2 linked regions of the Neurospora crassa OR74A genome follow. The protein of the gene in region 2 purifies or fractionates together with the protein of the main gene of each other region. This does not show direct contact. Links are inferred from orthologs where the notes say so. Each region holds a gene or a part of one and is shown on either strand. Other genes may lie near its edges. The genes, in order: NCU03401 and NCU02963.

Region 1 (15,461 bases), on a different chromosome or scaffold from region 2:
CCTTCCACAGCGCTGCAGATGTCTTACCGCTCAAGGCAGGCAACCTCTCTACTGAAGCAGGGGCAGTGAAGCAGGAAAGTTATAAGCAAATAGGGAAAGAGTGATGATGGATCAGACCCTCAAGATTTCCAACATGGGATCCATCACACTACCAACCTACCCTAGAGGTAAGGTAGGTACTCGGTATCATCACTGAACCTAAGGTTCTTTCCTTTCCTTTCAGGTAGAGGTAGGTAGTAATCCAATCACAGGTCCAGTCTTACCTTATCCAGAGTCGCACGATTGATTCGGAACCTGCCCGGGCTTGAGGAACCTTGAACCCCTCCTCCGCACCTTCGCTACTTACCTACTTACACACTACCTCACCTTCCTCGTCAAGAGGAATAGCTCGAACCACGCCTCCCAGGAAATTGGACCAATGTTGCATCTACGCCCGTCACCTTTGACCTGTCGCTCTGTGTGACTGCTTCAGATTGCTCTTCTTGTCAGCTTCGTCTCTCTTCCACCCCTCGTCTTGCTGTTGGAGCTGCTCCCTTTCGCATCTTCACCCTGATCTGCTTCTCGTGGGTCTTGATGGCCCTGTGTTGTCCAGCCCATTACAGCGAAAACTACAACACTCCCTTTTTGGAAACACTGCAACATTAGCAAGCCTCAAAACACCAGCAGGGCCACTCACCCATGCGAAAGAAAAGCCAATGATCCATTGCTCCATCTCGACATAGCAGCCTGGACCATGACGGGCTTCTGCTGTTGTGGGGTACCTCGCCCTCCCAGAACAGTGACGCCGTCGACACCGAGCCCCAGGAATCAAACCCCGAAACCCTCGGGTGCACTTCCGCCACTTCCTCCTCCTGCTCGCTTACCTGTTGCAGGACCACTTACATCCAACCCAGTCATCGCCATTCCGCTGGCCGTTGACGCTTATCCAGACTCTTCCAGCAAGTCTGGTACATCGCTGCAGCTGGCAACATCTTCTGTGATCGTTCCGATTGGGCCAGCCGACTTGAGCGATCTCGTGGTTGAAGACTCGGAGGACGACTTACCAGGCAGATCGACCGAGCCAAGCAAGAGTACCAGCACTCTCCAGCTTGTCAGAGAGAATATTCGTCGTCACTTGTCCCAAGACTCCTTGCCAAAGAAAAAGTCTCGCTCAGCTGTTGGCTCCAGCCAAGAGGAAATCCAAAGACGGGCCGAGCTCAAGAGACTGATGCACAAAAGGATACAAGAGGAACTCCGCATTGAGCAATCCCACGAGCGGTCTCGGAGTGAGGTTTCCTCTGTGCTGCCACCACCCAGATCCTCTTCGCCTGACTACCTTCCGGGTGGAGGGCCCCGTGATGCATTAGAGTTCTCGGTAGCCCAAGAAGAGGAAGGAGAGGCACATTCCGATACGACTTCCTCGTCCATTGCAAAGTCCAGTGCCGATGTCTCTGCACCAGGAAAGGCGGCTCCCCTTTCAGACAAGGAAAACAGCTGCCCCCGAGTAAACAGTCTCAAATATCCAACAATTGCGGTTATCCAGAAGCCAGTTCGAGAACGCAGTTCACTCCCAGAGATGCCAGCCTCTCCGGTCTTGGCTCCGCAGCGCTATTCCAATACTATTGACACTTCCTCCTTGGGCTCTTGGAGGCTTTCTTACAGCGCTACTCAACTCGAAGACTTTCTGGGCTTCATCGATCAAGATGGTTCCTCCCAAGATGCCGAGTCTTCCCTCAAAGCAGCAGCTTCGAGGGCGGTTACCTCACGTTCAGTACCGCTACTACGCCGGTCCAAGTCAGAGACTCGTCCACGCTCTTCCTCGGCCCGCACTCCTGGGAATGCAACTCCATGCGTGTTGGATCAGTCACCAATGGGTATTTGGCTCAGAAGCCAGGGTCTTGGATCATGTTCGCCGTCACTTTCCTTGGGTAGGTCTTCGGATAGAGACGGTGATCCCGAAATAAGCGTGGAACAGGCTAAAGTGGTCATGCTCAAGAGATGCAGCTCGATTCCCAACCACCCTGGCGGTGACATTAGTCTTCAACGTCCTGAGATTGTCCATCTTCATGACATGGATATCCATCGGCAGCTTGCTACACAGACTCTGAACACTCCTGAGGAATCTCCTGCAAATACCGAGTCGGAACAGAACACAGTCCGTAGGTATGTTGTGAGACATGGTAGCTCGGATCAGACAGCTGCATACGGGACCGAGACATCACACAGACAGCCTAACGGTCAGGCTGGCCTCATCAGCAACCCATCATCGGCATATCCCTCAGCTGGACATAGCGCCGATCCTAGCGCAGGAACTTCTTCATCGCATCTACCGTCAGGTGTCATGGGTCCCCATAACTTGCTTTCAGCGACACCACTGCGATGTGAGTAGTCCACCATGAACGACTTCTGTTCGGATGCTAATAGATTACAGGGCTTCTTCCGTCCAACCCTTTTGGTGAAAGCCATTCGAACATGGCCACGGGAGGGAGCTCGCTCGATAGTCCTACTGATGGAGGCACCGCCACTCAGACCGAGCTAATCTCATCGGGCGTGGCATCAGATACCATCAACAAACGTCAATCGGTACCAAAGCTAAATATAATGGAGAGGAGCTTTGCTCGATTTCATCTAGGGCATGGGGCACCGTCCAATATCTCCAAAAGGTTCGATAAACCGACCGATTCCATGAAACTACGCGCCGAACCGTCGAAGCGCTCACTGCTGGCGAGATTACATTTGAGCTTACCTCGACGTGTCAAACTGACCCCGGCTTCCTTTGACGGTCAGGTAGACGGCGAGCAGAATACTCCATTGCCCTCTACATCACGCCCGGTTGATTCGCAAAGACACAAGAAATCTGCACTCAGTGATGTTGGTCCGCAAACGCTCCATCAAAGCAGCGAGTTTCCATTCTCCGACTGTGATGATAGTACAGTAGAGCTTTGGCAATCTGCTGTGAGAGAGGAAATCTGGAGACGCCATACAGGTACTAAAAAGAGACATAGCGACTACCGACCATTTGACGTTCCACCCAAAACTTATTACCCCTATCCGTACCCAGGAGCGCGCCCTGGTGGCCAAGATCAAAGCAGCAGTCCCGTGTCCATTTCCACTGAACTTTCTGCCAAGACACTTGAAAGCAATCCAGAGCCGAGCGATAATGTTTTGAACGTCGCAGGTGTGCGCAGATCGTCACTCGAGAGCCCAGGACCCGAGATACAGAGGCCTCGAAAGTTTCCAGAGGCATGGGCAAGGTTTCCTTCGTACAACCGTGCAGAACGAAATGAGGACCACGAAAATACGGACCAAGCTCGGACCGAGCGAATAGCTTCCCATAAACCGCCGAACCAAGAGATTACACAGACCGCGATCTCTGGGGCTATTTCCAACCGCCAACATAACGGGGTCATGGGTCACAGACAGAAGAACTCAATGTCAAGCAAATTCGGAAAGGCTCTCAAATCCGGCCTCGACAAGCTTGTTCATTCCCGAAGATCATCAGACGTTTCGTGCGGGGATTCGCATCTTGACCAAGCAAGAGCCACACTGGAATACCCAGAGCTTGCACTCCATCCCACCGAGGCTGGTTATCGAGAACTCGAAGCATTAGGCCGAGAAATCAGGCGCCTGAAGCGGTTGGTGTCGAATGAGGTGGAAGACGGACCCAGACCTTGGGTAACTCTCCCTGTTGGTTCCGATGTTGAACTTGATGGGTCCAATGCCGGCAGTCATCGGAATTTGACTATGCCAGGCACTTTCCCCAGAAGTCGTGGAGGGGATTCATCAGCTACCACTGACAAGTTTGCGACGCCACTCAGCTCTCCCTCTCTCAACGATGCTTCTTTTCACTCCTTTCCGCGGTCATACTCGCCAGAGTCCAGTCGTCAGTCGTCTATCCCCATTTCGAACAAAGCGGTTGTGCCAGAAATCAAAATTACCGACCTGAGTTCGGTCAAGAGTGATACAACATTGGTGCTGAGAACACATCAGGTCAGATTTTCGGATGAAAATGGCCAGTGTCAGAGTGATTCGGCCACTTCTGGCTCCTCAAAGTACAATACCTGGAGTGGTCCGAACGATTCGCAGACTATCGATGATGCAAACGAGTCAGACGATAGTGATCAAGTGTTTCCCACAAACAACAAGCGTGGATCTCATCTGGAGAACTCGCTTTCAATCCAGGAGATAGCCGCCGGCAACGTGTAGAAAAGGGGGAAGAAGTGAACCATCACTGGTTTTCAATGAGCAATCATATTTTTATTTTTGTTGTTTCGTGCCTTCTTAGCTTCATCCCTTGATGGATTTTCAAGTGTTAGGTATTGTGCGGAGTAGAGAATCAACGTGCATTTCCAGTGTTTGGTGGTTCTGCAAAAGTTGAAAGGCCTGATAACCACGCCAAAAGAGTGTGATTATAACCAGGCGGAACTGGGCATCATTGTCTTTGCGTTACTGGCCATCACGTGTGGTGTGGGAAACAAGTAATGACAAGCTTTCTCTGATGTAACGACTTACAGCAGCTGTGTTAGTAAAACCAGAGGTAGTATTTAAGCGATTATCATCAGCCGAAAGGCCATCCTCTACATCAAGGATTTCTTTCATTCCATATTGAACACCAGTGACATTTGTCCATCAAGTGTAAATAACCAAGCATTTTTCTCGCCATGATGCTCGTTTGTTTCTTCTTTACCTACACTTAAATCACTCAAGTTGTCGTAGTATCTTCCTTCGCGGAAGTAGGACGAATACCTCTAGGTAGGTGGCCCGCGTTTGAACACTACTAACCGGTGCTAAACACTTTTATTTTCCTATTTTTCTATTCAATTTATTTCCTTGGTTAGTATATATCTTTCTTCGTTATCGTACCATAACATCTGCGAATCCAATCATTCATTCATCTTTCTTCCTTTCGTTTCCTTCCCGACTTCCAATAACAAGCCCGTCTCCATTCAACTTCCCCCCTCCATCATCATCGCTATCATCATCGTCATGAGGTGTACCAGTGATCCGAGGCGGTGGAGGACTAACCGCCACGGTAGCTGACGAGCCACCACTTCTTGAACCTGAACCAGGCGGAGGAGGGTCATGGTCGTGACTGAATGAGGACTCGCCCACCTCATCAGCTCCTTCGTAGTCCGGGCACTCAAAGACATGATTCACCACATCGCCAGTCCCCCTCCTACCATCACCCGCCTGAATGCATCTTCGTTCACTGTGGCTTGAGTAGTTGCTGCCACTTGAAGAACTCTTCCTCCCCTCCATCTCCATCTCCATCTCCTTCCCTTTGTCCATCTCCATCATTCCCTTTTCCACATCCTTCTTCATCCCTTGCTGCTCCTCCTCCGCAATGTCCACCATAGCTCCTCCTCCTCCCAGCACCCTCCCCGCCTCCCCCCTCGTCTCCGTCCTCGCCATACCTTCTCCATAAGCCGAGAATCGCAAGCCAGCAGCAGCAGCAACAGCAGCAGACGACGACGCCGGCGGTGGCACACCACTCATCCTAATCGTCATCATGATTCCCGTCCTCCTTCTCTTCTGCTCCTCAATCTTCCTCTCCATCTCCTCCCTCCGTTCCCTCAACAACAAACAAAACTTGGAACTCCTTCTAATCTTCTCCCCCTGCCACAGGAAAATAAACGGCATCATCGTCATCAACAGACTCAATCCACCCAACAACGAACATGCGCCCGCAATGCCCAAGCGATGGAACATGGGCGCCGTCGCCAGCGGTAAGAGCGTCGCTAACAACGACCGCGAGCACGAAGCCGCCGCATTCGCTGACGCGGCAAAGATCTCGTACGCGTCTGTCAAGTAGTTCAGCAGCGCCTGAAACACGCACATGAAGCCCATGCCGAAGGGGATCCCGCTTAGCATGGGGATCCAGAAGGGGACTGAAAAACGGGAAGTGAAGCCCAGCCAGAAGAGACTGACGACGAACATGGGGCCGCCGAGGCAAGCGAGTGGCAAGCGACGGTATTCTTCCTGGCGAGTCCAGGGGGCGTTGCGGTGCCGGGCGCGGGTGAGTATGGAGTCCCATGCCATGAAGATCGGGAGGGCAATCAAGCAGCCGACGCCGATGGCGAGGTACGTGAGCCCGCATTGGCCGGGGGTGAGGCCGTACAGGTCGATGAAGATGAAGGGGTAGGCTTCAAAGGTCATGTAGAAGATGGCGTAGCAGAGGGAGATGTAAGCGCAGCTGGTGGAGACGATGGGTTCCATGAGGATCATGCGGATGGGCCGGGTGAGGACGATGGTGGTGAGTTCGGACAGGGAGTGTTGGGTGTCTTCGAGTTCGCGGGGGGCGACGACGTGGGCGTTGGGGTTGGTGAGTCGTAGGTGCTGGGCGCGACGGAGGAGGAGGATGGGGCCGTAGGTTTCGGGCAACAAAAAGAAGAGAGGGAGGAGGGTCAGGCCGGCGTACATGAGGCCGATCCAGAAGGCCCAGCGCCAGCCGATGGTGGTGGCCGCGTAGCCGGAGATGATGGGGGCGATGAGAGGGCCGAAGACTGTAGTCTGTGAGGGGAGGGGGGTGGTCAGTGGTTGTGTGGATGGGAAAGGGGCAAGGGAAAACTGACAGCCATAAAAATCCCCATGCTTCTCCCACGCTGCCTCGGTTCATTGTAAATATCCGCAATAATCCCCGGCACCAGCGCAATAGGCGCACTTGCAAAGATGCCCGAAAACAGTCTGAAGATGATAAAGGAAATCCAATGAGGAGCCAATGCACACGCCAACGTAAACAAAGTAAACATGGCAAACGTCCCGATACTCAATCTCCTGCGCCCATACTGCTCGCTTAGCGGCGCCCACAAGATCGGACCCATCACATAGCCTAAATCCGTCAGTCTTTGCGAGAAATAACTAAAATACTGCAAGGCCTCACCGATCAGGTAGATGGAAATGGGCAGGACCGTCTCCTGCTCCGACTCGATCTTCCACTCCTCCACAATAAAGGGGATGGCGTTGCTGGGCAGGGCGCTGCCCATGGACGAGTTGAGGATCAACATGACGGCCGTCAGCAAGATGGCGGCTTTCCTGCCGGAGGACCAGTTGTACGGGTTTTCTGGGTCGTTTTCTTCCCAGGAGATGATGGTGTCCTCACCGTCATCGATGAAGCCGAAACTGGTTATGCTGCTGGCTCGGGGCAGGAGTTGGGATGGGATCCCCCGTGGCTCAACAGTGGTTGGCTTTTCGTGGAACGAGGATGAAGAACTGGCATGTCCACTGATGGGGATGGTTGCCGGGTCTGAAAAGCTGACTCTGGGAGCTGTTGGATCGGTTAGCAGAAGCGGCCATGTAACTTGGAGAAGCATATGTGCGCTCACCACTAGTACTGTCCCGTGTTGACAGAGAAGGTAAAGACTCTCCGACGAGTGTATTGAACTCGCCGAAGCGAAAGGGTTGTTCAAGATTCACTGACTCATACGAGTATGAAGACTCGCTCCCACGGTGCCTCTCGTCGTCTCCCGAGTTGTGAGTTACGAGATAGAACTTCCTCGGCTCCGGAGACTTCTTGTTACGGAGGGACTCCTTGTCTTTGCTGGGCTGTAGTGTGCCATCCGTATTTTTGGGTCGTTGCACAAAATCAGAGTCAGCTCGATCTCCATATCTTGATATGCCCTGTTCTGCCTCGGTGGGTTGGGATTGCCGATGATCATCATCACCGGGGCTCTCTTCGAGATTGTGTGACATGGTGCGAAAGTATGGAGGTCATCAGACCACTCAATGGAGCGGAGAGGTCGATGGTTCTTTGAAGGTCAGGTCGTTTACACAATAATCAAGACGAACACAAGAAGAGTCATTTCCAAAACTTGACAGCGGGCGAGCGATGGAGAAAAAGAGGTGATATAGAGTTGCCATCTTGTTCAGATACCATTACAGCAGAGTCACGAAACGAGAATCGAAGCATGTGTCTCGCCCATGATAATCGTCATGAAGAAAGAATATGTCATGCATGCTTGAACAGATATAGTGTATGCATGACGGGAAGGGGATTTGATCACGGAAGTGATGATATCCGAGGATGAGCAGGGTAACAGTTAGTAAACTAACAAGCCACAAGTCAATCACATCATTAATCCATCCGGCCAAGTGATATTTCGTTGAGCAAAGCACCCTCATCTCGAAACGATGAAAGTCCCCCAATCAAGCTTCAGCGACTAATTTGTTGGAAGACAGGTGTCCCAGCTGGATGGGCAAGGATAGAGGGATTGCTGACGTTGCCAACATGGTGGTAGCCTGCGGCGCAAGAGGAGTTGAGCTGGGCATGTGAAAAGGATAAGGTCTTCAGGGACAACAAAGGGGATGGTCTCGACGTGGACATGACGTTCGTGCTGTACAATCCCTGATTTATCCCAACGGCCGAGGGATTGTCGACAGACGGGGAAGGGTGACGGAGTCAACTCGGTCAGCACATGGAGCTCGATGGGGCCTGCGGAGATGAAGCATAGCCGTGGGTGTGGCTGTTTCCAACTGGTTGGATCCGGGGTATCGTCACTTGCACGTCGAGGGCCAATATCTATATATATGTCTGTTCGCCACGGTCTGCAGCCTCAGGCCTTTTTCCCAGATCGACTTCAGGAAACTCTGTCATGGACATCAAGAAAAAAAACTCATTCGAAAGTCGGCAGCATTTTGGCTCGAGCTGTACTGATCAACGGGAACAGTGGTCAGCATTCCATGGGCCGGCCCTGCCAGTGAACGCAGGTTAGAGACTGGCGATTCTGAGGTCGTGTCCTGGACTAAGGCAAGCCGTCCGCGGCGACAATTTCGTTCGATAGAGTGAGTAAGGTGATTAGGACGAGGATCGGGTGATTGGCACATCTTAAATCGCTGAAGCGACGGCAAGGCGTCAAGTCCGTTCCTGCTTGAAGCACATCTCAGCGCATGGGACATGCGATTCTCGCATCTCCAATTATCCAAATAGTAGCAAATGCATATTCCGGCATTGATGGTCAAGATAAGAAGTCTACGAGGCCCCAGGTTGACATCAGTTATATTACCTGCTTCAGTCAGTACGGTAAGGGCGCCGGGACCGAGTTGCTGTATTGACTTGGAGAAAGGCTTACAATGTGTTTTTGGTTCCCACTGACAGCCAGCCGTTGACAGTGGAATATGGTGATAGGGCCGAGGCCCGGCAGCGAGCGGCTTGCAGTACAGGCGCTGCGAGCTGCAGATATGCTTCATTGGGCATTTGACCTGCCGGCGAGTCTGGCCTCTCTACCTGAGGGACTTTGAGTGACATAACATGCACGTTATATCCAGTAATTTGCCCAAGAGTCTGATCATGTTGTTGACGTGGTTTAAGTTGGTAGCGACTGCTCAGCCCTGGTCGATGGAACTGTTGCCAGTGTTGTACACGGAAGCATTATTCACACTCATCGAAAGGGATGTAAGCCGGCGAAATGGGTTGCGGGCATGGCTTCATGTCTCGAGGTTGATTGTCTTTCCAAATCTTGCGTACAATTCCACCTTGAGCCCCGTCATCTCCTTGCGGATGGTTTCAAGCTTGTCATCGAGGGCTTCGATCTCCTTGATGAGTTTTGCAGCCGCGATGCCGAGCATCTCCTTGGCTTGTTCGAGGGGAATGTGGAAGAAGGAATCGCCAATCTTGTACCTGTTGTCGGGTCTCAGTATGTGTCTGGCTACGTGTCGTGCTGACGGTTGCAACTTACTGGACAAGCTCGTCCTCGTCCTCGACAAGCTCCAGTTCGGTTTCCAAGTCGTCGAGTTCCTCCTTCTCCTTGTTTTTGTTCTTGAGCTCCTCTTCGAGGGCGAGTTCGCGCTGGTGCAATCGGCTGAACCTGTTGATCTTGTCCTGGTCCTCGCGACGGACCTCGATCTCGTCGCCGGCCGCCTCCTCGTCCTCTTTACTCAACTGTTTTGAGGGGTGGTTAGCGACGAGCGCGAGAGAGCAGATGTTATGGACCAAGGACTTACCATGCGACGGTTCATTTTGCCGGTGGAGTTGGTTGGTGATGTTTGATAGCGGTACAGTACATAGATAGAGTCGTTGGGTGGTGACGACTGACGACCTAGGGAGCGACCGAAGCGACGTCGAAGCTCCCGTCTGACCCCACCTGGAATCCATCAGGGGCACAGCGACGGGAGCTGTTCATCGACGCCAGGGGGGGGGGGGGGGGGTACTACCCAGGTACATACAGTCAGTACCCTAGTACGAGCAACACCAAAAATCCGGCCACAAGTATTGCTCAAACAGGGGGGATTGCTGGTGCTGGGGTAGGGTGCACGGGCCATACTACCAAAACCTGCACTTCTAGGAAAGCCTTGGCGCCCAGACCTCCCCATCCCCTAATGTAAAAAGTGTGTAAATAGCGGGTATAAAGTAGTATCAAGGCTATAATTGGGTGAGAAGTACCCTTACTTTAGAGCAAATTACTAAATAGACTATTACTGTATACTCGTTTGCTCTTACACATATAAAAAAGAGAGTTTTGGCCCATACTGTTGCAAATACAGGGGGGGTTGCTCATATACAAGGTTGCTCTTACAAGGGTTTTCACTGTACTTCATGGTGGGGTTGGGGCTCTGCTACCCGATTGGTCACAACGTCTGTGTTAGTGCTAAGTCCTCTGCGCAACGCCAAAACATCAAAACAACACATCTATCTGCCCTGATAGTGACCATCAACATCAACCTCGGGCACGGTTGGCCTATTCACAGCAGCAAAGGACATGGTATCGGGGATATCCTAGGTCTTGTCACGATATTCAATCAACTGCAAGAAGAAGTCTGGGCGGAAATATGCCCGGCCAAAAAGCATACCCGCGGGCAACGGTCAAGAAGATTGTCAAGGCCCACGCTAACTGCAATGTTAGCAAAAATGTCGATGTCATGGTAAGCGAAGATAACAATAAAAATGCCACTATTCCCAAAATCCAACGCGTCGCACTAACATCGTGTTTGTCGCAGATCTATCTCGATTATGTTTTGTTCATGCAAACGTAGGAACCACTTCCTCACACCTTCTGAAACGGTATCACGCTAACACACACTCTGACAGCCTCATGAAGGAGGCTACCATCGAAGCCAAGCAAGGGGGTGAACGGGGCATCACAGGTCGGAGTGTCAAGAAAGTCACTGCGGTCAGTTTTCTTCTTCCCCACAACCACGCCCCCCCCTTTTTTTTTGACCCCCTTTTGTTGACATTTTGCTGCAATAGGACACTCTTGCCAAGTTCAAGGGTTGAGGAATTCCAACACTGCGCCTAGACAACACACGGGCTGGTTACCCCCACCGTCAAAGGGATCCCGTTGGAGGTGAAGCAAACGGGAGCATGGTTTCGACGACCTATCAGTTTTCAATAGGGTACAAGTGCATACATGGACTTGTACACGTCCTCATTCGTGGATGTAGGTAGTGACAACAGTTGGCTCATACATGACAAGTTGAATCGAGTGCGGGGGAAGACATCTCGACATCCATCGTACATAATGGTAAAATCAAAATTCATGGTCATGTCCAAGAATTCTGCCGTACTATACTGCATGGACCGCCGTTGCCTGTGATGGAGCTGTGATTCTTGGTCTTTCTTCAGGCTTCTGTGCCTGTCCCTCCCGCGTCTGTGGGCTCCAGTCGACGGGAAGCCGCCGAGCTGCGGCCAACCCCAGACGGAACCCGATGGTAGCCTCAGCTGCCTGTAGGTACCTCTAGAGGTAGGTAGGTAGCTTCAGGAGGCCCGTTGTGACTCCTCCGCCCAGCCGTCGGACGCCCGCCAAAACCTTCCAATGGAAGGTATCAGCAACTGCCCGGCTCTGACTTCGTTGTAGGTGGTGCCCGCCTGGGCGGGAATCGCTGTCTCCACTCCTTCTCCTGGCTGCCCGCCCGCCCGCGGACGGAGAGAGCTCCAAAAAGGTCGAACGTCAGCAGCTGAGCTGTCCCGCCGCCCGCCGCCTTCCCGTCCCGCCCACCCACCCACCCACTCCCACCCTTCCTTCCGCCAAACAACAAAACAAACCCTCCACCACACCTTCTTTCGCAAACAACTCAACAAGCTCTTCTACCGCTATTCTCCTTTTTCTGCCTCACTCTCCATAATCAACACTGCTGCTAGCCACCCCTCTTCGCATCAGCAGTCAAGCAACGCAACTGAACCCCGCAAAGGAGCATCATAGGTAGCCCGACATATCGTTGGAGCCTTGTCCCCAAGCAACTGAATTACCCACCGCGCAACCACCACAAGCTTGACAAACCACCCCATCCACCACAACACTACACATGATGACTGCCGCCGCCGTCCAGAACCCTCCGGTCGCGACCGAGTCCAAGTCGGCCAAGAAGAAAAAGGCCAAGCAGGGCACCGAGTCCCCCGCCCTCGCTACCTCTTCGACCCCAGACAAGCCCGCTTCTCTCGCTGCTGGCAACGAGCCGTCTCAGGAGGGCGACTCGTCCAACCCCCATATTCGTGAGATCCAAAAGTCCGTTCTTTACCCAAGTCTAGCCGCCATCGTCGTCATTCCATCCCATCACCTTCTACTAGCTGCTGACACTTGTCTCTTCTCTCTTGTATAGGGCTATCCGCAATGTGTCCAAGAAGATTGTAGGTTTCTATACTCGCACTGACATGCCACGCCATTGCGCTAGAGACTGACTTTATGTTCCTCAATCTAGACCAATGCTTCCAAGATCGACCACCTGGTAGCTGAGCACGGCAACAAGTCTCTTGATGAGCTGGTGTCTCTCAAGATCATCAATGCCGACCAAAAGGCCGCATACCTCAAGAAGCCCGCCCTGCAGGCCCAGCTTTTCCAGCTTGACGAGCAGATTGCTCTCCTCAGGAAGCTTGATGCTGAGCACAAGATCCGCCTGGCCGAGCAGGAGAAGGCCCTCGCCGACAAGTTTGCCCAGGAAAAGGCCGACCTTGTTGCCGAGCTCGAGAAGAAGGCCGAGGCCGATGCCGACAAGAAGCTCCACGATAGCTTGCTCCACCTCTCTCAGTTCCTCCGCCTCGCAGCTGCCCGTCGCGCTGAGGATGCCGACAGCACTGCCGACGAGAATATGGCTCTCGAAGGTGTCCTGCTCCACATCTACTCGGGCGACGAGAATGCTGTCAAGAACATGCTGAAGCTCGTCCAGGGTGCCGAGGAGCAGACTCGCAGCACTACTGGTGAGCTGCTCAAGACTACCTGTAAGCACCCCTCCACTAGCACATGTAGCCCGCCTTCCATATATACTAACCTCACTCCGTCTTTGCAGTTGCCCAGGTTAAGCAGGTCGCTATTGCCTATGCGGCTCCCTTCTCCCAGCCCGCCGCTGAGGAGCCCGTTGCCCAGACCACCGAGACCGAGACCGAGGCCCCCGCCGAAACCAAGCCCGCTGAGACCGAGGCTGTCGAGTCCAAGCAGGAACCCCAGACCGATCTTACTGTTGCCAACGCTGGCCTTACCGAAATCGACGATGGTTCCGCTGTTGCTTTGACCAACGGAAACACCCAAGAGCAGCCTGCTACTGGCGGTGCCCCCGCCCAGACCGATGCCGGCGACAGCACTGCCAACCCTGCTGCCGAGAGCGGCTGGGATGCTTCTGGCTCGGCTGCTGCCTCTACCGACATGACGGGCTCTCAGGAGTGGGTCGAGGTCCAGCGCGATCCCGCTGAGACCGAGAAGGGCCTTGAGGCTACCCCTGCCGCGCCTTCCAACACCCAGTCGTGGGCTGACGATCATCCCGAGACTGCCGGTGCCCCTACTGGTGCTGATGACGGCTTCCAGTCCGTCCAGGGCAAGCGTGGTCCTCAGCAGCAAGGCTACCGCGGCCGTGGTGGCTACCGTGGACGTGGCGATGGACGTGGCCGTGGCCGTGGCCGTGGCGGTCCTCGTGGTGGTCGTGGAGGCCCTCGTCCTCCTCGCGCCGGTGGTGACGAGCAGCACTAGGAGTCTGGACGTCCCGAGCCTGTCGCGATGGAGTCTGGCTGGCCTGTTGAAACTGATTGGTCTGCCAAATCCGGTTGGCCTGCGGAATCTGGCTGGCCTGCTGAATCTGGCTGGCCTGTTTGAGCTTAACTGTCTTTTTTTTTTTTTTTTTCCTCGGTTTGATCTCGTCTGGCATCTATTTGTGTGAGCGTATGCATTTTTGCTCTGGGATCTTGGGCGTTCTCATGATCAAAAAAGTTCATATTGCGCTATAGCATGGATTTGCTTCATTGGTCTGTATTGTACATTAAAAATTGGGCAAGCGCAAAGGGGTTACGGAGAAACGGATGACTAAATGGTGGTTAACCTTGTTTTATTTGTTACCCCCGGAATACCTTGCATGATAACGACAGAAAGAATTAAAGGAAGGGAGGAAGGGAGAGGCCGCGCCGCCGAAATGGCGCAAGACAGGTGTGGATGTACCATAATGAAGCTGAAGGATGAATTGACGATGGATCTGATGAGGAGTCTGTTTCGAGCGACGTTGCTGGTGTTTGTGTGTTCGATTATGCTTTATGATGGGTATCATTATACTAAATTGGGGTTGGCGCGACATGCCAGGATATCGAGTCAAGTGCTGACGGTATCCGAGTGGCTGTCTTTGAAATATCCTCCACCAAACTGACCGGGTCGCACGTAACCGCGTCTCACCACTTGCACACGCGACCAGCATCCAGCACGAGGATGATACGCTTTCACGTGATAGGGGCCTCGATATGACTTGCATCCCTCCATTCTTTTTCGGGACAGGATCATCGTCGTCAAGCGACCATCCCCCTCCCCCACAGCCAACGCCGATGATAAAAAGTGATATGTACTTTGAGTCTGCATCGATTAAAGTTTTCTTTCCTTTTGCGCAACTGCGTCCTTATCGAAGGATTCCGGAGAAGATGACCGACGAGGACGATAAGATCAGACGGAGATGGAAAAAGTGATGGAATGTGCTTCATGCTTGATTGTTTATCAAGAGCGTTAAGCATTTCTACGTTTCTGATCGTCCCCCGCTCTTTGGGGATATTTCAGTCGTCACCCGTTGGCCGGCCGGGCGCTTGCATTTTTATGCTTTTCACATCAATCACACCATGGCGTTTGTTTATTTCTGTTCTTTTTGGTTTACTTTTACTTGAGCTGGCTATCCAAAAAAACAACACAGAAAACAAAATCCAGGAGGTCAGGACACCCTCTTCTCGAGACGCAGCCTCCCTCTTCCAATGCACGTTAGAAAGCACTGTATGCCTCTCGAAGTTTGTTGGATGGAGCCATCTGACTGGTGTGGTAACCGCTTGGCATCTTTCTTCTCCTTCCCCGCGCCCACATACACACACACATACCACACGCATGATCAGTGTTTGAGGAATGGCTGGGGATTTGTTGAATGGGAACCATCAACCAATGGAAAAGCTACTTGATGTTTTCCAGGAGAGATGCACAGGACTGGCTACTAACAAATGATAAAATAGGTAGGCGAGTTACGGGAAGCAACGAAGAGTCCCCGCCTCCGGTATGTATTGGTCCATCTTTCCATTTTACATTGGCGGCGACTACATAAGTGAACGA
Region 2 (16,319 bases):
TGTCAAGTCACCATGTCATTCGCCACCGGAGCTCGACTGCCCAATTCTCGTTCGGGCGCCTCATCCTCGTCGCAGCGCAGCGGCCAGGCGTCTGAGGTATTGAACATTCAGGCGAGTACCTTTCAGCTTTCCCCTTTCTCTCAAGCAGCGCAGTTCTACGTCTATGTCTATTGAGGAAGAGTGCTTTCACCCCCATTTCACGTATACTGATATTTTCTTCTACAGGTGGACTTGGTGGTCCCAACTCGTGGCTTTCGCATTGTAGACGACCAGGACCGAGAGCTCAAGACAATCTTGGAACAGATCGAACAACAGCACCGTGTCAGGATCTGCCTCAAAGCACAGGAGGATCCCATCCAGATCTCCGCTGCTTCTCCCAAGAACGCCCAGGCGGCCATACGCAGCATCTTGAGGAGCTTGATGCTCCGTGAAGGGCATGCGACAGTCTGGCGAGATTCAGTACTTGTGGCTCCGCCCAGCAGCGACAAGCGTGTCATACGGATACTTCTCCAGGACAGCCCTGAAACCACATGGTTTCGACCAGCCGCGACACTCACCGACTCTACTGAGGTGGCCGATGCTTTGGCTGTCCAAGCTTACAAGAGCGATCTTGCTGCTGCGATGGTCCGCGTGGGTGATGGCTTGCGGTATTGTCCCAATAGGATGCGCATGCAGATCGCTTTCGGCAAACTGTTCTTCAAAGAACGCAAGCGGGGTACTACGAGCTATACGCTCGATGAGTTCTCGAAGTTGGCTCGCAGGGTGAGCAGCAGAGGGACTTCTTACATGGAGATGAGGTAAGTGTATACTCTGGTCTTCCCTTCTGGTTCTCCTTTTTCTGGTCGCTTTCCCAGGCGATTAATGTCTAACACTGCTCAGACTGGGTGGTGAATCAATGCGCGAAAAGATTCAACATGCCTTCTCCCTCGATCCAGACTTTGAAGGCCCCCAAGGCATAGAAAACTTTGTGATTGTGACGACGAAAAATGTCAACCTGGAAGTGAGCGTCGATAAAAATCAAATCTGTGGTTTTACTTTCGGCTCATTGAACGTCTTCCATCGAGAGAAGAGCCACCGTAGTGTCGAACTTGCCACAGCATGCCCTGACAAGTAAGTCGGCATCTTTCTCACTTCCTTGCCAAACTAACACATCCCAGAAATCACGACTGGGTCTTGAAAGTCGAGTCTCCCATCGATGAGACCGGCAATAAGCTCCCACTCGATCAACATACACTGAGCAAGGGCATCAGGATTCGTCACAATGAGAACACCCGTTGTATTGAGCCTCACATTGCGGCGTCCTTCGCACAGAAACACCATATTGAGGCTCTCATTGGCAAGACGACCTGGTCCTATTACCTCAACAAGGACTACATCGTTGAGCTTTCCCTGTACCGGCAGTGGAGCACTATCTCGGGCACCAAGAGCCGACAGCCTCAAGAGCCCGTCGCTGGTGTGAGCGTCAGCATGTATCGACCGGAGTGGGACGACCACATGGCCAATGCTGACGTTTCAGCCGGACCGCGGTCCTGGGAAGCGTTTCCAGAACAGTTCTTCAAGTCATCCATGTCATCCGCTGACCCCACTAGGGATCTTGACCCGCTTGATGCCTTATTGCACTGGGTTGGAAAGGTCCAAACGGTGCTGGAAAGAACTGTATAGACAGACGCGGGCTATCAGCAGTTGTAGATGGAAAGTTGTCGTGGTGAGGTATTAAGAGCTGAAGTAGTGATGTTTGGCTGCTGAGCTCAAGGTCGCGGAACGGTTCTTCGAATACATGGGTGTGTCGTCATAATAATCGTCAATGGCTCAACGCGTATTCAAGGAGATCGAGGACATACACCAAGTAGCTGTGCCCAAGTTGTATTTTTGTCGTTTTTTGTTTGTTTTTTTTTGCTTCGCTTAATCACACAATAACAAGTCAGATTCTCCACTATGCCTGTGCCGATGCAGGTCCAGCTCCTTGTGCCAGCACCTTCTGCCTCAAGACTAGATGTTGATTCTTGTTAGTAACAATGCCATGGCTGAAATGCACGGACAGCTCAAGAAAAAGAGGAGAATGCCGTACCTTCTTCCACCACGCGGAGGTTGTTAGTCTTTCCCTGGACAATGGCTTCCAAGTTCTGAATGTTGGCGCCAAGTTCCTTGACCTTGGCATCGTAGAAATCAGTGGCACTTTTGGTGTCCTGAACGCTTCGAGTTAATAACATGTAGTGCCGTTCGTGGCGGAGAGACGTACCTTTTCGACGTAGAACCCAGTACCAACATCGACGATCACGCGGTCGGGGTTGGAGAGCTTGCCCTTGACGTAGAGGGAGTTGGTGAGGGGCACGAGGATGTCTTTGTTGTCTGTTGAATGGGGTCTTGTTGTCAGCGGTGACCATGACTGGAGGGTAGGCGTTCGGCTGGGCTTGGGTCGGGATGAAGGGAATGGAATTGTAGGATGGGCGTGGTGGAACAGCAGGTGGGAAGAAAGGGTGTTGATCGGATATGAGGATGGGAGATATGAGGCGTGGGGAGGTGGAGGATGGCGACATCACCGCCATGAGATGAGTAGATAAAAGTAAAATGAGGTGTAGACGTTTGTTATGGTTGTAAGTGGGATGAAGAGGACTGGAGAAAAAAAGGGATAGCTCATCGGGTCACATCAGAGAATGAGACAAAAGCTCACGAAGAGGTTGACCGTCAAGTGGAAGCTTGACAAAATCCATCCCCATCCCCCAAACTCCCGGCCCTTCGAATATACTCATAGACGATCCACCCCATCTCATCTACCACATCAAGATGAAAGAAAAATGAAGGAAACAGGTCAACTAAACATACCATCAAAAGAACTGCTTCCTGTCTGCACGATTCGCAAGCACTCTTTGAACTTGGCCTGCGCCGCAGCTAGCTGCGTGTACGAGGCCGTCAGGTGCTCGACCTCCTCGTCTAGCTGCTGCTTGACGGCGGTAAGTTGTTGAGCGCTGAGGCTCTCAATGTTGACTGGGAAGGTCTGTTAGTGACTGCCACACATTGAAACATCAAACGGGGAATGGGGGCGGCATCATGGTGTGGACTAAAGGGGGTGAGATGAGTGCGGGAGGTGACCAGGGGGGGGGATGGGGAAGGTAAGGTGAAGCTTGAGCTCGAAGCTTGATTGAGCTTTAGAGGAGGAGCGAACATGAAGCTCCCTTGAATGAGTGGGAGCTTGCAAGGTTCAAAGGAGCGGGCAGCGGTGAAAGGGGAGATACTTACCTCCTTCTTGCTTGCCAGACATCTTTACGCTTTCTTATTCGTTTGTAATCGAGAGAGGAATGGGCTAGATGTAAGAGTGTCTAATTCACAAAACCGAATGTGATGTTTGAACGAGGTTCAGTTCCAGTTGATCGGGCGGCCACGAGGGCCGGCAGCAACGATAGAGGTAGTGCGTGGAGGTGGTTGCCCCGCTATGAGAGCAGCTCTGTGGGGCAGAATTTTGCGGGCTTCCAGGGGTCGCTTCGTCGCTTTCCCCTGTTCGCTGCAGGCGGGGTACATGCCCGAGATCCTAGGTATGTAGTACCGAGTAAACAGTGACTTGACTTTCTCCTGACAACCATCTTCTCACTTTTCCTCGACAACATAGATAGGTCCATTGAGGAGCCAATCCTCGAACTGACCATCTTGTTCCAAGAGAAATACACGGCGAAGCGGCTTACTGGGTTGAGTATAACGGAAAACTGTACTGGAAACAGCATTTTATCCTTCTCGCTCTCTTCAAACTTTCTCGTCGGTTGCCACTATCAACGGGTGGCACCTCAACTTTTCGCGTTACACATAAGAACGGTCACCCCAGCAACCTCTAACAAACAAACACCCGAATTTCTTCTTCACCTCATCAACAAACCCCAACCCAAACTCGCAGAGAAGCACCACCATCATGGCGCCCTCACTGCCATCTCCCATCCCCAAAACCCGCATCGGCGGCATCCCCGGCGTCGACCGGGGCCGCAGCCTCTTCTCCACGGAGCGCTTCGGCGCCGGCGAAACCATCGCCATCATCGAAAACCCCTTGCTCGCTCTCCCAGACGACGCCAACATGCGGACGACCTGCAACTACTGCCTCTATGTCAGCGGGACGATCGAGTTCGAGGGCGATGTGGAAGCGGGGGCCCGGACGTGCAAGGCGTGCACGGGCTGCAAGGCGGCCGTGTACTGCAACGCCGAGTGCCAGCGGGCGCACTGGAAGCTGGTGCATAAGGCCGAATGCAAGATGTTCAAGCGAATCCAGGAGCGGACGGGCAAGGACTGGTTGCCGACTCCCGTGAGGGCGGTGGCGCAGGTGATGCTGTTGTTGAAGGCTGGGGATGAGGAGACTGTCAAGGCGTTTGGGCCTGGTGGTACGTTGGAGAGTAATGTGGAGGGGTTCAAGACTGATGAGGGCTTGTGGGGTGATTTCGAATTACAGGCTACGGGGGCGGTGGTTTATGCGGGTTTGTTGCAGAGTGATGAGACGTTGAAGCAGGCTATGGAGGTTTTGTGCAAGGTGAGTTTGATGTGGAAGTCTGGGTATCGACGTGTGATGTGAACTGACTAGTGCGGCGACCTTAGATCCAAACGAATGCGTTCAACAGGTTTGATGCCGACACGGGACAGGCGGGCATCTATCTTCACCCTAGTCTTTCTATGGTTAATCACTCTTGTGTTCCGAACGCCTACATCGCTTTCGAGAAGCGCAAGGCCTTTCTCAAGGCGGAGAGGGATCTTGAACCGGGCGACGAGATTCTGATTTCATATATCGGTATGGTAATTCCTTTCGCAAGCGAGGGTTTTCTCGTCTTCTAACTTGCCAGCCAGATCACACTATGCCTCGCCGTGCAAGGCAAGAGAGTCTTCGACTCTATCACTTCCAGTGCAATTGTATTCGTTGCAAAGAGGATTTGAATGCCTACGAAGTTATTCAGGCTTGCGGGGTTTCCCCGGGTGTCAAGTGGCTCAACTCCTCCAGTTTCCAGCCGGATGTCGCCAGCCTGGTTCCTGCTTATATCGAAAGGTCAAAGACAGTACCAAAGTCAAAGATCGAGGAAATACACTGGAAGTGTATGGAGTTGACTTGCATTGTTCAGGGGGATCCTATGGAGAATGCGCGAGCCCAGTGGGAACTTTGCAAACCTCTCAGGGATGCCCAGCTGTGGGCTCTCGATCCCCTTCCTCCCACGATTCTCAGGATAGCTACCATGCTGGGTTCTAACCGTACTACGCTAGCCAAGGCGCTTCCTCTACACTGCTTCATGGCGTTGGAATGCTATCCCTTCAAGTACCCGGCATCATTCACGCCTTTCAGGGTCAAAACACTGATGACAATTGCAAAGCTCCTGTCCGCGGCGGGAGATTTGACCTATAGCGGCGATCTTGCTCGGTACTGCGACCACGAGGGTGTTATTGGGGTTCTGGCAACCGCTGACATAGTTTCTTTGACCGAGGTCATCCTTCGGCTGGTCAGGCAAAACGGCGTTATAGGGGGTGTGGCATCGTGGGACGTCTTATTCGGAACCAAGGAAATGTTGCGCGACATCGGAGATCTGCAGGAGCGCGACGAGAAGGACGCCGCTATGGTCAAGCATTGGGCAAACAATTTGCAAGATCCTGTGAGCAAAGCTTTCTGGGAGAACGTTGTGCTCAAGCCGATCACACAGCTTGCGAGTTTCGCAATTGAGATCATCGAGGCTGAACTGGGAGGCAACAAGAGTCTGGCTCGGAAGTAAGCCCGAAAAGAATCAAAGATATTTCAGTCCTTTCTCCGCACCTAGACTCCCTTTCCTTACTTGGCCGACAGGCTAGTCTGAGGTGTCTAGCTGCATCCCGACTGTACGCCTCCTTGTGCAGCGGCGTCGGGCGAGGCAAGGCGAAGTGTCGATAGCTGGCGTACTTGGCAACTCTCCTGCAATGTCTGTCTCAGGAAGCTCGGCCTCCGACGAGGTCCGTTTGTGACAGTTGGGAGATGTCAGATTCTTGGCAGTTTGCTGGTCACCCTCGAGCCGTTGCACCCTGCTCTTGAGAATATCGAAGTCTATCTGAAGACTTTCGATAGAGCGCATGTTGCTCAACAGGCGTCTCAAGTCTGCATTTTTGGCACGAAGTGTTGCAACTTCATTCCCATCATTGGTGGTAGAAACGCTCTTGTTGGCTTCTGATGCTATGACATCAACTTGAACTAGGAGGTCAGAGACCTGGGACCTAAGCCCCGCCAGTTCTTGTTGCAATTGGCTTCTGACTTTGGTCATTTCGTTGCTCGCTTGTCTGGGAAGCTCGTTCTTCGATAAGGCATTGTTGAAATTCCCGCCCGGGGAGAAGTGCCACTTTCCCCTAGTGTCTCGGCTGAGCTAACTGTGCTGACACTACTAGATGGCTCTGTGTTGTCGAGGACGCGATCGATGTAGATGCTACTTTTCTTGCCTGCGTCGTCGAATGGCACAATTGAGCCTTGGTAGAATAGGACATGATATCTACAAGGTTATGTTAGGCATTGTCTTCGATGTCCCACGCCAATGATCATGTTTGACTTGCCTCTCTAGCACATGATTCCCGGGTGTTTCGACGCATTTCAGCCCAAGAAACGCGGAACAACTGACACAGGCTATGATTTGCAGTCGACTACAGCACATTCGAATAAGTAACAACATCAGACATGGAGTGTATGATTGATACAGACTTACCAGTTTTCCATCAAGGTACCCGGCTCTCCGTAAACTGCGCTTCTCTTGTGGCATACGTCCAGACTGTTCTTTGATTCGATGATAGGAACCACATACATGCCGATTTCATACCACAGGTTGATGAACTTGCCTATAGTGCCCCGGCACTGTTTGCAACGGCAGAGCACCAGCTCCGCCATGCTGAACTATGGATATCGAGGGCAAGGTTAAGCGGCCTGCTGCGAAAGAACTCAGGTGTTCAGGAATGAGAAAGGAAAGATATGGTGATGCCCCGCGTATCGGGAGATCAGAACCGTGGAGCGTGGGCGTCGGAATCAGATCACGCACATTGTTGCTTGAGCTGAAATCGAATTGGAGATGTGCTGGGGATGACTCGGGCAACTCAACTGTGTACACTGAAGGAAATTTTCACATCATGGGAAACGTGGACGCTCATTTTGGTTCTCAACAATGGACAACAAAGGAAGGAGCTATCGTATAAGTCGTTTGATACTGTACTATGTAGAGATGGTCTTGGCAATACAGGGGACCGAAAGCTGTAGGCGCCACCTTCTTGGACGATAAGATGTGGCTTGACTACCTACCACTAGGTATGCCCGATAATGACAGTGAAATCCGCCACACTGGATGCCACAGTGGGGCTCTGCCTGCCTGCAAACACTGCGCCGTGAGTCGCTCCACCCAACCTTGGCGTGCCTGGGGTTTGACAGGCACGAACAAGGGTGTCTTTCTTTTTGGTTTGGTCCGACTTCAGTGACTTCGTGCCAACTTCAGACGTCCACTTCCATCAATGTTCAGTTGTTTTCCCCAGTTTAAAACCTGAACACTTTCGTTTCACTTTCACTCCCTAATTCCTTCTCTTTTGCAATTTCTTCTGAGCCTGCACTTCCGTGCAATTTTCAGGTCACACTCCCCTCAGAGGAAGCGCAGTCATCATGAGCAGAAAAAAGAACAAGAGTAAAGGTCAGCGCGGCGTTGCGGCTGCCTTGGCCACCTTTCAGGGCGACTCTATGGCCATTGATTCCGAAGTCACCAGCCTTCAGAATTCGACTGCTCCGACGGACGGTGAATTGACGTCAACCACAATTTCGGCTGGTCTTAAACGGCCATGTCCCGAAGATGACCATGAAGACGGCGGCGGCTGGCAGACAATCGAAAATGGCCGGCCGGTAAAGAAACTCAAGAAGATTCCTGGCCAGGAATCCAAGCGCTATCCCGGCATTCACTTTTCGACCCAGGCCAGGCTTTTTTCCAAGATCAACGTCTCTTCTTTACGCGACCTGATCCTGTACATCTTTGCCGATGGCCCTGCGCCGCAATGGGTGTCTGTCAAGCATCGCCCCGAGTTCAGAAAGATCGTGGCCATCATGGTACCGGGTCTTGACGAGGCCATGTTCAAGAACGGTCTTGACTTCTCCGCCTACACCGGTCCCACTCTTGATCAAGCGATCTCCGGTGGCGGCGCCCCTGATCCTGATGAGTACTATCCACGCGAGCTCAAGAAGGAGCTGTTGCCCGAAGTCCTGCAGCCCTTCGCCGACATGTTCCCGCATTTGTGGCCTGTAAAAGCTCCAGGTGACGACAAGTATGGCAAGTTGCACTCGCCAATGCCTGCAATGCTTACCGCGCCCCTGCCCAAGAGCAAGGGAACGGGAATCCAGCCCGTATCTGAGCCCCACGGCTGGAAAAATCAGCGAACACGCATTACCGAGTTTTTGGCCACCAACGAGGAGCTGATGGAGCATGGCTTCCCCGTTCATCCAGCTATGCTGAACCCAGGGGAGAAAAAAGACAAGTTCAAGGACCCCGAAGGCTGGGTACACACGAGGGTCGAGAATCTTGAGGATGGAAAGGTCCCCGAAGGCGAAGTGCAACAGGGCAGTGTCACCGCAGGCCGGGAAGTCTATGCCCTCGATTGCGAGATGTGTATGACGGGGGAAGCCGAGTATTCACTTACCAGAATCAGCTTGGTCTCTTGGGACGGCAGTGTTGTTCTTGACGAGCTTGTCAAGCCGGACAAGCCTATCATTGACTATGTGACCCGGTTTTCAGGTATCACCAAAGAGATGATCGATCCTATCAACACGACATTGAAAGATATCCAGGCACGCTTGCTCGACATTCTTGGTCCTCGCTCGATTCTCCTCGGACACTCGCTTGACTCTGATCTTAAGGCCCTCAAGCTCGCTCACCCCTTCATTGTCGACACCTCGCTTCTCTTCCCGCACCCTCGCGGACTTCCCCTCAAACAATCGTTGAAGTACCTCGCACAAAAGTTCCTCAACCGCGAAGTTCAAAAGGGTGGTGGAACCAACGCCGGACACGACAGTATCGAAGACGCCAAAACGTGTCTCGACCTTGTCAAGAGGAAGTGCGAGAAGGGCAAGGCATGGGGTGCCGGAGAGAGCCAGGGCGAGAACCTCTTCAAGCGCCTCGCTCGCGCTGGTACGGCATATCGCTCGACCGCTGGGCCGGAGGCCACGGGCGGTGCTCCTGTCGGCAAGAGCAGCGCAGCTGTTGACTGGGGTGACGTAAGCAGAAGCGCCGGTAACGCCGCCACCGTCACAATTTCCTGCAAATCCGACGCCGAGGTTGAAGCCGGCATCCTCCGCGCGGTCAAGGGTGATCCCGACGGCCTCGAAGTTCCCGGCGGCGGTGTCGACTTTGTGTGGGCACGCATGCGTGAGCTCGAGGCCCTCCGAGGATGGTGGAACCGCAACAAGCTCGTCCCCGAGGACGCTGGCGGCCCGCCGGCTCTCACTGATGGTGATAAAAAGGAGGAAGAGGAAGAGCAGGAGGATGCCGCATCACCCCTTGAGACCTGCCTGAAGACACTCGGCGAGCGGTTGAAGCGCATCTACGACAATCTCCCGCCCTGCACGGCTTTCATCGTCTACACCGGCACTGGTGACCCGCGCGAGATGAGCCGGCTGCAGGCCATGCAGGCCCAGTTCAAGAAGGAGTACAACACGCCTGGCTCTAAGTGGGACCAGCTTAGTGTGCAATGGACGGACAGGGAGGATCAGGCTCTGCGTCGGGCTCTGAAGGTGGCGAGAAGCGGCATTGGCTTCATTGGAGTTAAATAGGCTCTGAGCTCTATGCCCCCGAGTGGACGCTGGAGAAAGAAGAATTAATATCTGTGGGAGGTGGTTTCAGGGTAGCTGTTGGCGTGAACATGGTTATGGATGGCAGCGAAGAGGTTCTTAGATGACATCAAGACAGTATAGACCTTATGGCTTTGCTTGGTGCGTCAACGATGGTTTATAGAATATCGTCAAGATACATACTTCGATGCCGCGGGCTCTACGAACATTTACTTCTCTTTACGAAGTTTACCATAAATTTAGAGAAGGCGACGTCTTGAGTCTTCAGCATCTATTGCCAATATCACCGTTTTGTTAAGGTTCAGTGATACACGCTGTTGACCAAGAGCCTCAGCTTTGCACACCTTCATTGGATCTACTCTTCTATTTCTGGTTGACGGTAGATACTAGCAAGATGGTGATCCCAAACTTGTGGATATCAAAACGAGCAAGGTATGGCAAGGACACGCAATGCAGATTCTTTCAGAAGCCTATGTATCGTATCTATCTATGTATGTGTCTGTGAACACAATCCGCTTTTCTCCGCTCACCATCGTGAAGCAAGAAAGAAACACACGACACCCAGCAAATGCAAAACCAGACTCACCACTAGCCGAAAAGCACCAAGCCCCATCTTCGACTTTTCACTCCCCAACACAAGCTGTTAACAACCCCGACAAGCCAGCTACATTCGCTTTGTACAGTACTTAATATTTGTATATTCACCAAAACTCCCTATAATCATCCGAACATAGTGTACTCGCCTCACTCGACAAGTAACCCTCGTCCAAGTCCTCATCACACCACTGCTGCTCCTCCTTCAAGGCCTTCTCCATTTCGACATCAACATCGTAGTAAACATCCTCCATAGCGTCATACCCAACCATCCACTCCTGAGCCTCTTCTTTCAACTCCAACTCTGACTCACTCTAGAAATCAAACTCACCACGGAAGATCTCGGGATCCACGCCCGTAGTAACCTTCTCCGCCAGATCCCTCCGTCCCATCTGCGTGAACACGCGACGGAGAGTGTCGTAAAGGGTCGTGCTCCTGTTCTGCGTCATCATGTTATCGATACGCGAGTCGCTATCACCCGCATTGCCGCCCAGCAGCTCGCGCGCCTTCTCGCGTCCGCTCTTCTCTACAGACTTGTGCATGTCCAGCGCCGCGAGCAAGTGACCCGCGGCCTCAGCATGGCAGCCAATGTTGATGCACGAGACGCCAAGGTTGTAGCGGGCGCGGACAAAGTTGGGGTGAATGGCGAGGGCCTTTTCGTAGGCGGCGATGGCCTCCTCGGAGCGGCCGCTGTTGGCGAGAGTGGCGCCCAGCCGGTTCCAGAGCAGGTGGATCTGTTCGCGCTGGTTGGAGGTGCCGAGCTCGGTCGAGTGCAGCGCCGACTGGAAGCAGTCGACGGCCTTGTCGTAGTCCTCGGCGCCGTAGAACAGGACGCCTAGGCCGACCTGCACGTCGGGGTCCATGTGATCGCCATCGGGAGCGAGGCGGGCCGCCTCGAGGAAGAGGTTGGTGACGCGCTCGTGCAGCTGGGCGCGGTCGGTGAAGCCCATGTCAGCGGCCGAGGAAAGGTTACTGGGTGAGATGACGCTGGGGTACTTGGTCGACAGCCAGCGCTCGAGCGTGCGGTAGGCGGTGCTGTCGTAGCCCTCGTTGGTGTAGGAGACGGCTAGGCCCATCATAGCAGAGAGGTTGTTGGGGTCGAGCTTCATGGCACGCTCGAGAGCACGGATGGCAGCTTCTTCCTTCTCGTTCTGGGCTTGCGTCTGTCCGAGGTAGACCCACGCCTCGGTGTGGTCGGGGTTCTTCTGGACCGCAGCCTCGAAGGCCAGAGCAGCTAGCGACAGGTTCCCGCCCTCCTTCATGATACGAATACCCTCTTCGAATGGGTTTGGTGTCTCCCTGAAGAGGTTATCTTCCTCGAAGAGGTACTCTTGCACGATAGGGTCCGCGCCGAGCCTGCCGTTCAGCGTCCAATCTTCCTTTTCCAGGTTCTCACTGTCGAACTTGGCAAAGTCGTCCTGGACATCAATCTCGTCCAACTCCTTCATGGCGTCTCTTTCGGCCTGGATACCGCGCCAGATGGATTCGAGATCGCCAGCACCAGTCTCGGAGTGAAGTAGCGCCTCGTCCATCTTGTTGAGCTCGGGCTCCATGGCGCGGGCCTCGTCACCATTGATCTCCAGCTGAGCAAAATGCTCTTCCCACTTGTTCTGGTCGAGCTCAACAACTTTGCCCTTACCCTTGCCCTCGGGCTGTAGTTGTTGCTGGGGAATGTTGTGCATCTGAGGGCCGTGCATGCCGACCATGGGCTGGTACATGGGTCGCTGCATCATGTTGTAGTTCATGTTGCCCATGCCCATCATGCCACCACCCATCATGGGGCGCTGAGCAGGCATCTGGCTGGCGGTGGCCGGCGCCGCGGCGGGGTGCATTTGCTGGAACTTTGAAAACTCATCGGCGCTGAACTGAGTGCCAGGCGGCGCATTGAAGGCGGCTTCCATAGCCGCCTGTGTGTTGTGGAAGTCCTGAGCCCATGCTGGCGAGGCGTTCGGGGCGCGCATGTGGGCGCCTTGGCTCGGGTCGAGGTGAAGCATATGTCCTTGTTCGAGAGGCATATGAGCCATCTCCGGCGTTTGGTTTAGGAATCCGTTCACCATCTGTTCGAGAGGATCGTCATGTCAGCCAAGAGCGCATGCCTTGCCGTCAACAATATCCATGAAGATTCCTTACCTCATCTTGGCCAGGCCCGCGGTTAATACTCCGGAAGCCACCAACCGCAGCATTGGGACCTCTGTTGGCAAGTCTGTCATGTTGGAGGCTCTTGTCGTCTCCAACATGCTTGGTAAACTGACTGAGCGGGTTGCCCGCCGTCGAACACTCGGCTCCACCCATGAAAGACATTTTGAAGATGTTGGATATTAATGCGACAATGGCGATGTTTCGGCGAAAGTTGACAACGAAGCCCAAGACAGAAGACAAGATGGGCGGCTCTTGTACACTATCTGGTAGACGAAGTAGAGCGCTATGCGGTCGACTGTTGGGAAAGCAGCGGCCCGCGCAAGTTGTAGAGGCAGGCTGGAAGTAGCGGTAGCTAGGTAGATTTTTGCGCAGGGCAAAGGAAGGATGACTTTAGTTTGGAAGAGGGAAAGAAAAAAAGAAGTGGAAGTAACAAACAAGCCAGGCACGGGCGTGGTGAGCTCGTGGAGTTGATTAATTAGTGATCAAGCGGCGGTGTCCAGAACTGAAGTTGTCCAGGTGAAAGAAAGAAGTTGACCGACTCTCGCGGGATGTGTGGCAGGTGTGCTGTCTTGTAAGTAACGACGGGAGCCCACGGATGCACGGGCGGGTTGTCTGGGTCCGGCATGTGTGGATGGCAGCAGCGTGGTTAGAAATCGGGCTCTGCATGCATCTGAAGTGAGTTGGAACCTTGGGCGCCAAAAGCTCAGGTCACTCAGGGGCACAAGGGGGGCACCGCCGTGCGCCACCTGAACAGCTGGAAATGCCGAGGCAGCCAGGGCACCTCAGCCAGCCATCATATCCACCTCACCGCGCTCTTGTTAGGTCTTTTTGGGCTGTGGCAGTTGCCGGCCACACCTCAGGCACTTGTTGCCTGGCCGCGGCTATTACTGGTAACCCCGCCAATGGAGTGTTGTCAACCACACCTCACATGGAGCCGAACCCCAGCCCGGCCCGTGGAGTACACCCCCGCCCCCGCCCCCGGATCCATCATCGATCCCTTCGTTCCTTCAAACGACAGCCGAGAACAATCGGACGACAGCGGAGTGCGGAAATCATACTCGCATGCCGACAGCACGGCAATGTACGCAAGTTGAAAGGGAAAATGAACAATCAAACGATGCGTTTCGAGCAGATCGTCACGTCACGCATACGGGATGCAGGACGCAAAGAAGGTACAGAAGACCACCCCTCTATTCGTACATATGTACAGCGATATAACCAACAAAAAATGGTAAACGAAAACAACTAGTCGCAGTAAGAAGAAAGAAGAGAAGATTTTTCGTAGTTGTACAGGTATCATTGCAAGCAAAAGGTCAGGATGATGTACGCAGAGTGATCGTACTGCAAAGGCGCCACAACACCAATCCCACAGTTTCCCAATCCCAATGTGCCCCAATTTTGGCAACATTTGTCAAGAAACACAACCGGCCTCTTTTCTTTTTTGAAAACCGAACTTGCCCAGTTTTGCCCTCCATTACATCCGTTTCCCATCCTCTTCACCCAGTCATGTCGTAACCATTACATGCCCTCGATTGCGGCTTGTTAGTTTAGAACTCGGTGGACTCGCCCTGGTCGCGGCGGTTGTAGTTGCGGTCGCCACCCTCGCGGTTGTAGCTGCGGTCGCCACCCTCGCGGTTGTAGCTGCGGTTGCCACCATCACGGTTGTAGTTGCGGTTGCCACCCTCACGGTTGTAGCTGCGGTTACCGCCGTCGCGGTTGTAGCTGCGCTGACCATCGCGCTGACCATCACGCTGCTGACGGGGGCGGTACTCGCGGCGTTCGCCGTTGTTCTCACGGGGCTGACGAGCAGCGGCGGGCTGAGCATAGTCAATCTTGATGGTCCTCTCGCCGAGCTGGGTACCCTGGAGCTTCTCCAAGGCGTTGACGGCAGCCTCAACGTCGACGAAGTCGGCGTGGGCGAAGCCACGGGGCCAGCCGGTAGCACGGTCAACGGCGACGCGGACGTCCTTGAGACCGTCAATGCCGACGAAGATGTTGTTCAGCTCGGCATCGGTGGTCTCGTAGGGGATGTTGCCAATGAAAAGGCAGGCAGAGGGCTCGCCGACGGCGCTGCCGCGGTTGACCTTCGCACGGCGGGGCTCAACGCTGATGCGGCGACCGTGCCAGAAAGAGCCGTCGACTTGGGAGCAGGCCTCCTCGAGGGCCTCACGGGTGGCGAAGGTGACAAAACCGTAACTGTGGACACAATCTGTTAGCGTAGTTCAATGTGGGATACGTAGAAAGGACTCCAAACTTACCCCTTGCTCAAGCCGCGGGGATCACGGGCAAGGAAAACGTCGGTGACATTGCCGAACTTCTCGAAAGCGCCCTTGAGGTGCTCCTCGGTAGCGTCGAAGACAATGTTGCGGACGAAAGCGGCGTGGCCCTCAGTGGTGTCCTTCTGAACAGCAGCCTCCTCGGTAGCAGCAGGGGCAGTCTCGGTCTCGGTCTGCTCGGGCTGAGTAGGCTCCTCGGTGTTAAGAACACGGGGAGACTGAGAGAAGAAGCGGATAGCCTGGATTCTGCTGGAGACAAGAGCAGTACGGGCAATGCTGGCGGAAAAGGACGCAGCAGGAGCCTGGGTAGAGATAGCCCTCGAAGCAGAGAGGGCGGATCTGAGAGCGGCACGACGGATGGACTGCCTGAATATGGAGATATCTGGTTAGTAACTGATGTGGGATGCCGGTCTACCTGTCCGTTCCTTGACTGTTACGCCAGGAAAGATATTAAGCAACTCGAACTTACATTTTGAAGTATGGGGATGAGGATGGATGGATGGATGGGCAAAAAAGGGTTGTTGAAAAGAGGTATCGGGAAGACAGGAAGCGTTTGCCTGGAAAAGAATAAAAGTCAGTCGACCTCAAGGTCCCGCTCCCGAGTCGGGGTTCTCAGAGTGGACTCTCCACTGCCTATGGTTGGAGTGCTCTCATCCGCCGCTATCAGAAAATTCAAGCAGGGTTGAGGCGGCACACTGAGCTGCATAACCGATTGGACTAGCCGCCTTGGGAAAGGTTGCTATTACGGATAAGCTTATCGGACGTGCCTGACTCTGTGCAGCACGCGTCAGTGAGTGCAGGCTGAACGGTGCAGTGTGTAAATCCCGTCGCTACCTCTAGAGGTCTAGTACTGACGGTTCTTTATCTATCGCTATCAGTTGTCCAACTTCAACTTCACCTGGCACTTTACAAAAACACATCTCAAACCCACAATCACGGCGACGGGTTGCGCATAGAAAATGACTTGAGATTTACGCTCGCCAACATATTTGGACTTGGTCTCATTTGAAGGTCTAAGGCTTTCTCTATCAATTCGCAGGACATCTCTTAGGGCTGGTTGGCCCCATATTCCCCAACGTTCTGGTCTGTCCCCACCAACCATACTACGTCAGGTTCATGATCCAAACCGACCGGATCACTACCGGTACTTGAGCGTGCTATGCGCCATGGTCCAACTCGCCATCAGCGGTCTCCAAGGGATGTTGAGCGTCGAGCGACATCACACCACCCCCATATCTACTCCCCGTTTTGGAACACAGCGCGCAGGTCCTCCCTGCCGCTGACGCTGCCAAGGGTTGGCCTCCTCGACTTCCGCAAATGCTGATGGCGATGAGATCTAGAGGCTGAACTGGGCCCTAGCGTCCTGGGACCCGAGTCGAGTTGATGGATTCGATTTGACGCAGTTTTGTTGGACTCTGCGTTTCTGGGATCCGTAGTCAGATTTTGGTAAGTTCCTGACTGAATGATGCTGGGACCTCGATCCAGATTGACTGGATGGGATCTGAGGGGGTCGAATTCGAGGGATATGCCAT

Evidence for each region.
Region 1: the proteins of NCU02963 (region 2) and NCU03401 purify together in Saccharomyces cerevisiae (affinity purification with mass spectrometry; 3 studies listed by BioGRID, with this or other methods). This does not show direct contact. The link is inferred for Neurospora crassa OR74A from reciprocal best matches to the Saccharomyces cerevisiae genes GIM5 and GIM3.

The regions. Positions count from the first base shown.
Region 1 is NC_026502.1:836,411-851,871, forward strand, and holds NCU03401 (hypothetical protein), read right to left. Parts: upstream 9,968-15,461; 5' UTR 9,931-9,967; coding exon 9,916-9,930; intron 9,854-9,915; coding exon 9,651-9,853; intron 9,593-9,650; coding exon 9,400-9,592; 3' UTR 9,045-9,399; downstream 1-9,044. Other genes in the region: NCU03403 (hypothetical protein), read left to right, coding at 734-2,142, 2,206-2,360, 2,411-2,554, 3,041-4,185; NCU03402 (membrane transporter), read right to left, coding at 4,867-6,489, 6,552-7,243, 7,302-7,668; NCU03400 (hypothetical protein), read left to right, coding at 10,741-10,833, 10,909-10,940, 11,000-11,081, 11,159-11,185; NCU03399 (hypothetical protein), read left to right, coding at 12,214-12,413, 12,508-12,535, 12,607-13,123, 13,192-13,865. UniProt on the Saccharomyces cerevisiae protein: Binds specifically to cytosolic chaperonin (c-CPN) and transfers target proteins to it. Binds to nascent polypeptide chain and promotes folding in an environment in which there are many competing pathways for nonnative proteins.
Region 2 is NC_026501.1:8,560,905-8,577,223, forward strand, and holds NCU02963 (c-myc binding protein), read right to left. Parts: upstream 3,412-16,319; 5' UTR 3,260-3,411; coding exon 3,238-3,259; intron 2,986-3,237; coding exon 2,824-2,985; intron 2,350-2,823; coding exon 2,240-2,349; intron 2,187-2,239; coding exon 2,069-2,186; intron 1,990-2,068; coding exon 1,934-1,989; 3' UTR 1,663-1,933; coding exon of another isoform or gene 1,251-1,662; 3' UTR 1,111-1,250; downstream 1-1,110. Other genes in the region: NCU02964 (hypothetical protein), read left to right, coding at 13-96, 226-797, 880-1,110, 1,251-1,662; NCU02962 (hypothetical protein), read left to right, coding at 3,899-4,504, 4,570-4,759, 4,816-5,723; NCU02961 (exonuclease), read left to right, coding at 7,610-9,760; pex5 (peroxisomal targeting signal receptor), read right to left, coding at 10,687-12,429, 12,503-12,673; NCU16466 (nucleic acid-binding protein), read right to left, coding at 14,059-14,707, 14,770-15,153, 15,257-15,258; NCU02959 (hypothetical protein), read right to left, coding at 16,024-16,319.